Linked DNA regions of Ovis aries. The protein of the gene in region 1 interacts with the protein of each later gene in a biochemical or structural test. Links are inferred from orthologs where the notes say so. Each region holds a gene or a part of one and is shown in the gene's direction. Other genes may lie near its edges.

Region 1 (4,247 bases):
CCTCGACCTGCACCGCCCCGTCCCCAGCTGTGTACCCTGCACCGCCCAGCTCACCACCAGGGGTTGCCACACCCTCTCCACCCACCCGGCAGGTGAACAGCCCCCTGCCCACCACCACCCCACCCACTGCCCCTGGCCTCGAACCCAGCCGCCTGCCTGCCTCTCTGCTCCTCCCCTCCGCTGCCCTGTTGCTGCGCTAGGCCCCTCGCCCCTCTCATGGGGGACTGCCACCCTGGCACCACTTGTGATCTGGCGGGCTCTGAGTAGAGAGGAGAGGAGAGAAGAAATGGTCCTTGGAGCCCATCTCACCCAGACTATGTTTCTTGGCCCCTCCCCCAAAAAGCCCAATCCAGCCCTCCCTGGGGCACTGGGAGGGCACTGGACCCGAGCAAAGGGTAGGACTGTGCAGGACCCCAGGGGGGCCGAGGCCCCGACCCTGTGACCTGAGGCCTCGCCCTTGGTCTCTGAGCCTCAGGCCCCTCCCAGTCATCTGCCCAGCCGACCCAGGGGCCACGAGGGTCAGTCAAGGCCATTCCTGGAAGGCTGGGCCCTCTGGGGCCACGCCTGCTTTCCTTAGCAGGTTTTCAGGTGACTGGAACCTCTACCCTGGGGTCCCAGCTCCCCCCTGGAGGGGGAGGGGCGCTGGGGACAACACGGGCTGGAAGGGGGCCTGACAGTGACTTTGGCACAGAAACACTTGGGATGGGGAAATGGCTATCGCCCGCCCCTCCCCACACCTCTTGCCTTGTCTCTGGTGAACAAGGAAGAAGGGGCCACTCTATTGGGCCCCTCCCCACCCAGTTCTCCAGGAGCACTGCGCTGAGATGGGAGGGCCCATGGGGAAACAGGCCCAGGCTGAGGCATAGAGAATGCTCACCTTGCTGGGGTGTCAGCAAAGCCCCCCAACCCGCTTTGTGTCCCTGGTGGGCCCTCCTCGGTGAGGACCTGGGCCCTAAGTGAGTTGGGGCAGAAGTTTTGTCCTAGTGGCTCCCAGGGTCCTCAACGTCGCGTGGGGCCACAGGCCACGCCGTGACAGGGGAGCAGGGTTTTGATGGCTGGGATCTGATGCCACCAGGAGAGGCAGGTGGGGCCCAGGCTGATGCTTCCTGGAACTGCCCCACCCTGCCCGAGCACAGTCCAGGGTTTGATGCCCTTCGAACTGCACTTGGGATCGGTATTGACAAGCGACACGGTAATCATTAACTGCAGCCAGGGGCTGGGCCAACGGCTCAAAAGGCGCTGGGCCCAGAGTGGCCCCACTTCCTCCTCGTGCCCCGAGGGCCAGCCCGGCGCCCAGGTAAGAGCCTTCCCTGCGGGGTTAGGTCCCTGCAGCCCCTCTGCCCACTCACCCTGGATGCGCCCGAGCCCAGCCCTTCTAAGAAGAAAGGAAGGGCCCCGAGGCAACTCCTGGGTGACCCAAGCGAGTCGTTTCTGCCCCTGGGCCTCGGTTTCCATCGATGGAAACCTGAGTGGATGACGGGGATCTCTGCCGCTGCTCCTGCCTCTGCTAAACCAGGTACTTGGTCTTGCCTGCAGGTCTTCAAAAGAACCTGCTCTGTGACCTTGGGCAGCCTCCTCTGCCCCCCAGGGCCGGTTTCCACTGCTGGGAAAGGGGTCCATAGCCTAGGTCCACTCTAAAAGCTGAGTCCCAGGTCCGCTTTCTCCCCAGAAGCTTTGGGTTCTCCAAAGAATCCCCTAGGCCTCACAGGACTGCTATTGTAAGGGGCCAGAGCCTGTTTGGTGGGGATGCGAACACACGGCAGGAGAGAGGGCTGTTCCCCTGGGGCCCTGGGCCAGCTCAGGGACCCCAACCAACGGGGAACGGACCCAAAGCTGGAAGGGGAGGTGGCTCTGCAACAGCGCCGGCCAGGGTGACCTCACACACCCTGGTATGAGAACCAGCAGTGGCTCAGAGAGGTTAAGCCACTTGCTCAAGGTCACCCAGCTCCTAGGACCCTGCTGGCTGTCGGGCCACTGAGGTGCTGAATGTTCTTCCAGAATGAATCAGCTGATAGCCCTGTTCTTAGCATTCTGTGGGGGGTGATGTCTCAAGCACCTTCTCCGGTTCTCTATGCTCCCCGCCCCCCAGCTCTGTCTGCTTCCCGTTCTCTGCCTGCCCCTCTCATCGCCCTCTCTCGGCGCCCCTGCCTCACTCTCCCACTTTCACTGTCTCCCCTTCTCTGTTCCCCCCACCATTCTCTCTGTCTCATCTCCAGCTTCGTGTCTGGCACCCTCCTCAGGGTTCTGGGCATTCAGAGGTCCTTGGAGATCGCAGATGCCCAGTGGTCCCTCACTGTGTCTCCGCCCTGTGGCTGCAGCAGGAAGGGTGGGCAAAGGGCAGAGAGTGGAGGCCACAGCGGCAGACCTGAACCTGGGGCCCAGCTCTAGTTGGGAAAGAAACGAGGAAACAAGGAACTTGGGGAGAGGGTGTGGGGTGTCAGTGGGCAAAGGCTGCCCAGGAGCTGTAAACGGGAGCCACTCCCAGCTTTATGAGCAGATCTGGGGTTGAGCCTGGACTTCGCCCAGAAGGAGTCTGGCATCAGACTCCAGGTGTGGGCCCCAGATGATAAGGAGCCTCCATAAAAAGACTGTGGACCGAGGGCCGTGAGGACAGGGCCCAGGCCTCCAACTGGCTCCCACCCCCTGTAACAGCAACTCCATGTGGAAGTACCACTAGTTCCAGTGGGGCTGCTGTTATCTGGGGTGGGGGCCACACCCACGGAGGAGGCGAAGCGGCGACTGCCCAGCACACACCAGCAGGGACCCCCACCCCCATGGCCACACTCCCTGCACCAGGGTGGCGAAGGGCAGTGGGCTGTCAGCAGGCTGCCAAGAGCGAGTGCACAGGGCTCTGACCTATGAATTGACAGCCAGTGCTCTCGTGTCCCCTCTGGCTGCCAATTCCATAGGTCACAGGTATGTTCGCCTCGATGCCAGCCACCAGGACCTGCAGGGGAAGGGGCGGGCGGGGGTGCCCTGGTGGGCCATGAAACCTGTCTGCCACAGTCTGCCCCTCCCCGCCTCCCCACTTGCCTGCTTGCGTGGGGAAAATGAATGAATTGCTTTAGGGCTCCACCTCCACCGGCTGTGCTGTGTGTCTCTGTGCTCAGTCCGTGAGGTTCCCTCTGCCTGAGCACCCTTCCCAGCCTTTTTGTCGGGCTTACTTACTATCAATAACTGTTCCAAGCTTTGCTGGATCATTTGCTGCCTCCAGGAAGCCTTCTTAAAGCCCACTTGACCGGAAGTGCCCAGCGAGCACCCCCAGCACCCCATGCTTCCCCCAAGCACTGCATTCTCCCCGTGTTTCTGTTCTCCCCACCACCTATGAGCTCAGCCCCCAGCCCAAGCTGAGCCCAGGTGTGTGCTCAATAAATGTCTGGACCGACCCTGGGCCTCCACCTTGCATCCTAAGGAAGCACCGCCAACGGTCCAATGTGACCAAGAGGAGCCAAGGACTCTGGGTTCCAGTTTGTGCTGAAGCCCCCCAGGAGCCAGGCGCCTGCTCTGCACACCCCTTCTGCTCTCTTGACTGCCCAGGCCCCCGCCGTGGAGAGAAGCACGGCCCCCAGCCCTGCTCCAGCTCCCACAGTAGCCTCACTCCTGCGTGGGTTTTATAACATGGGGTTCTGAGAACATTTTCATTTGAATAAAAAAGTTTCTGCTGCTAAAACATTAGTGTTTAAACATTGGAAACACAGACCTAGGGATAAAGTCCAAATTGCTTAGTAAATGGAATGTTCTTGAGCCCTTTCTGTGTGCTGGGAGCTTGCTTACATCAATCATCTGGAATCACCCCAGCAACCTTGTGAGGTAACTGCTGTGAGGCTGGTCTGGGAGATGAGAACATGGGCTCAGAAAGGGTGAGCATTTCGCTAAAGTCACAGAGCAAGTCGACCTTCTCTCTCTAAGGACTTGACGCGGCTGGCCAAGGATCGGCCCCTTTCCCTCGCTCATTCCCACACACAGCTTTGCTCTCCGTGTCCTGTCAGCCCCATCCCCTCTGCTGAGGGCCTTCAGGGGTGACCCTCCTATGACTGAACAATCTGCTCCCCTCCACCTGCACCAGCTCCGTGGGCCTCTCTCTCTGCCTCCTTATCTCATTTTGTGCGGGGCTCAGAGCTCTAAGAGCTTATCTTATCCTTGTGCTGATCCCAGATTCCTTGAGAGCAAAGTCTGGGACTCATTCATCTTCCCTGGCCTGGCAGCCCAACACAGTAGGTGTTCGACATACTCTGGCTGCGTGGAGG
Region 2 (3,800 bases), on another chromosome or scaffold:
AGTTGTCCCAGTGACATCACAGAGGCTCTCTGCTCGTGGGAGGGGGGCAGAGGAGAGAGTGGTGGCCCTCAGGACTGGCTCCCCAGGGCTGGATGGGGCCAGGAGTTGCCTCCCCTCGAGAGCCTGCAGGAGCCCCGCCCCACCGACACCTGGGTCTGCGCCCAGGGGCCCCGGCTTTGACATCCACCATCCAGAACCGAGGGTGGCTTGTGGGAGTTTGTCAGGGCGGCTAACGCAACCCATGAGGCCCAGCCACTGGACAAGGAGTACAGGAGGGAAGGTGAATGACGGGCCCAGAAACGTCCCTTGTCTCGAGAGGAACTGGCTTCCTGGGGGCTTCTATGCACCCCAGAGAGCCAGGCACGTCAGACATAACCAACCTGCAGGGTCTGGCAGAGAAGGGACCAGAGGGCGTCTAGGAGGTGAGAGCCTTGGAGGAAGGGGTGAATGCTGTGCCCCTGAGCAAAGAGAGACCCCGAGTCTAGCGAGAGCTGGTCCCAGGAGACGGGGCTTGAGGGCCCGGGCTTCTCTGCGTGCACTCGGAAACAGGCTTGGAGGAGGCCTTCTGGGGCAGGCGCGTGTTGTCCGTGGGTCTTCTGTAGCCTGTGCGGGTTTGCACGGCGACCGCTCCATTGCACATCACTACCTGCACGAAGCTCTTTGCTGAGCTCGAGGGCCAGGGTCTGGCCAGACCACCCTTACCTGGGGGTCTGTGATCTCGGAAGGGCTGCCCCCAAGGAAGCATCGTCTTCCCCCACCTTCCCCATCCCCACCCGTCTCTCTCAGTGGCCTCGGACCTGAACGCCTTGGGCCTTCCACCGATTGTCCAGGCTAAAGATGAGTTTCATGAGGCGACTCTTCAGGGGCTGTCCATTAACCGTCCTCCCGTGCCTCTCTGTCAACCCAGACTCCGTCCCTGGAGGGGCCGGTTCAGCTGTGAGCTCCGAGGCCTACCCGCAGAACCCGCACCTTCGCGCCTGTCACCAGAGGATCGACAGCAACCTCGGTGAGCCCAGAGCGCCGCTGCCTCCACGCCCGCCCGCACCGGGCCCCGGGGCCTGCCCCCCACCCACCCCACGCCTGCACGGCTCCCAGCCCTTCACCCCCACTAGGCTCTGCCCGCCTGCTTCTGTCCCCACCTCTCATCTGGGCGGTGACAGCGGCAGGGGCGGGGTCTGCCAGCCCCCCTCCGCCTGGCCCTGAGCCAGCCTCCTTCGGTCGCCCCGTTGTCTTTAGCTCAGTGACAAGCCTCCCGGAGCACCGCGCTTCTGCTGCCCTCGCTCTTAGCTGGTGGAAGAGCAGAGAGCCGCTCTGGGCGTGCCCCCCACTCCCTGTGTGTGTGCAAACTCGTACTCCCGTAGGCACACAGGTACACACACCCGCACACATATCTGCAGGCACACGTGTGCACACACACACACACACACACAGCCACAAAACCCGAAGGAGGAGCTTTGCCTTCACCCGGACAGTCAGTCGGGCCGGAACTCCGCTCCGCGGCTGGCACAGCTGAGTCGGGGAACCCCAGGCCCTCGCCGGCCCCTCCCTGCTCACAGCCAGTGCTCTCTGCCACGATGCTGACGAAGCCTTTGTGTACTCAAGGCCGACTGTGACCTTACGGACACCTTTCCCCTTAAAGGCAAATTGAGATTGGTTTTCACCGCTTCTTATGACAGAAAGCATCTATTACAGAGAGGAGTGGAGCCTGGGGTACATCTCAGGTGTGGAGCCCGGGGTATGTCTCAGGAATGGAGCCTGGGGTACATCTCAGGTGTGGAGCCCGGGGTATGTGTCAGGAGTGGAGCCCGGGGTACGTGTCAGGAGTGGAGCCCGGGGTACCTCTCGGGTGGAGCCCGGGGTACGTCTCAGGGGTGGAGCCTGGGGTACATCTCAGGTGTGGAGCCCGGGGTACGTGTCAGGAGTGGAGCCCAGGGTACGTGTCAGGGGTGGAGCCCGGGGTACGTCTCCGGAGTGGAGCCCGGGGTGTGTGTCAGGAGTGGAGCCCGGGGTACGTGTCAGGAGTGGAGCCCGGGGTACGTCTCAGGGGTGGAGCCCGGGGTACGTCTCCGGAGTGGAGCCCGGGGTGTGTGTCAGGAGTGGAGCCCGGGGTATGTCTCAGGGGTGGAGCCTGGGGTATGTCTCAGGGGTGGAGCCTGGGGTACGTCTCAGGGGTGGAGCCTGGGGTATGTCTCAGGTTTGCTTCCAGGCGGCAGACCTCCCGTCTGCAACTCAGCATCTGTGCTTGACGCAGCGTCAGGTTAAAGGCAGCTGGAAGCTGTGTGGCCCTGTGTGAATTTCTAGAAGAAACACCGTGTCCATGTACGGACAGTGGGCTCCCGGTGGGCTCGGGAGGGGGTGCTTTTCCATCGGCCAGTTACTGCTGCTTGACTCACCGCTGTGTGTCCTGGAACCAGAACTGTTGCCCTGGCACCTGGCCATCTCCCAGGAGGACGGGCCAGTGACCACAGGGGGCATCTGGGGTGCAGGTCCCGACGCCCTGACTGGGCTCAGGACACGCATACCCTCCTGTCCTGCAGATGAGCTGTCCGTGGGCCTGGGCCGGCTGAAGGACATCGCACTGGGGATACAGACAGAGATTGACGAGCAGGACGACATCCTCGACCGCCTCACGACCAAGGTGGACAAGCTAGACGCCAGCATCACCAGCACCGAGAGGAAGGTGCGGCAGCTGTGAGGCGGAGGCCGACTCCTGCCCACCTCGGCGGAGAGATCTCAAAGGCCTTCTTTTAAACTCCGAGAACCTTCACTTACTACTTCAAAATGTGGTTTAACATGTGTTTCCAGATGTTGTAACAGAGTGGGTCTCACGAGATTTTGTTTAGAGGACGCGGGCCCCCCTCCCCTCAGGACCCTGACCGGACAGCTGTAGGCCGGGCGGGTCAGGCCGGCCAGCGTCTCCATGTGCCGTGTGGCCCCCAGGCCGCCCACAGCAGAGCGCCAAGGGCCGCGAAACCCCAGTTTGCAGCGCTCCCCCGCCATGAGCCCATCGTGATCCTCTGAGCCCCAGGAGAGGCCAGCAGCAGGTTCGGAGTGGAGGGGGTGGGCGTCCTCGCTGTTGCGTGGACAGACGCCACCTCCTCCCCTCCCGGCCCCTGAACTCAGCAGGCATTTGATTTCAGGAGGAGAAGGGGCTTCAGACCTGTCCTGCTCACTGTGATGCCTGGAAACACTCTGGGAGCAGGCGAGCCTGGGCTCAGGAACAGGTGCGACCCTGGCCCCAGGCTGCATGGCCGGCCAGGCCCCGGAGCGCACATGGGCACGCCTCACGGAGGTGCTCTGCCGAGCTCTCTGCCCTCGGGTCACCCGGACCGGGCCCGCACGCAGCAGCGCTCACTCGGTTCCGGGGGTCCCCGGCCCGTCCAGGGTGCCCACCCTCTCCCCGCGCTGCCGGCCACACGCCTTGACTCATCTCTTGGCTGTCTGCCCCCCAGTTTTAGGACTGGAATCTGCCCGTGGCAGACCATGCCTGGAAGCATTTGGCTTTTTAAAAGCCCAGAGGTTATTCTAACAACCCTAGCGTGTTCTCGCTTCTCATTTTATTAAAGAAGAATCATTTAAAAGCACTAATTAAAATTGATTTCTGAACTTAAATGACTTTCTGTTGGTGCCTACAACAAAATAATTGAAGGCAGAAGGTCTCTTTAAACACAGGTTGTTGAACATGCTTTGAAGACAGTGAAAGGGACTAATTCTGATGAGACAGTACAGGTCAGAAGCTTTAAAATCACCGTGCTGTTCACTGTGAGACCTGGCCTGACACAGCGACCTCACCGCTCAGG

The links.
Region 2: the proteins of EHD1 (region 1) and SNAP29 form a complex in vitro, tested with the Homo sapiens proteins (2 studies listed by BioGRID). The link is inferred for Ovis aries from reciprocal best matches to the Homo sapiens genes EHD1 and SNAP29.

The regions. Positions count from the first base shown.
Region 1 is NC_056074.1:39,563,394-39,567,640, reverse strand, and holds the start of EHD1 (EH domain-containing protein 1), read left to right. Parts: upstream 1-1,258; 5' UTR 1,259-1,516; intron 1,517-2,630; exon of another isoform or gene 2,631-2,713; intron 2,714-3,412; 5' UTR 3,413-4,247. UniProt on the Homo sapiens protein: ATP- and membrane-binding protein that controls membrane reorganization/tubulation upon ATP hydrolysis. In vitro causes vesiculation of endocytic membranes. Acts in early endocytic membrane fusion and membrane trafficking of recycling endosomes.
Region 2 is NC_056070.1:72,311,381-72,315,180, forward strand, and holds the end of SNAP29 (synaptosomal-associated protein 29), read left to right. Parts: intron 1-907; coding exon 908-1,006; intron 1,007-1,639; coding exon of another isoform or gene 1,640-1,692; coding exon 1,693-1,810; intron 1,811-2,251; coding exon 2,252-2,319; intron 2,320-2,537; coding exon 2,538-2,695; 3' UTR 2,696-3,612; downstream 3,613-3,800. UniProt on the Homo sapiens protein: SNAREs, soluble N-ethylmaleimide-sensitive factor-attachment protein receptors, are essential proteins for fusion of cellular membranes.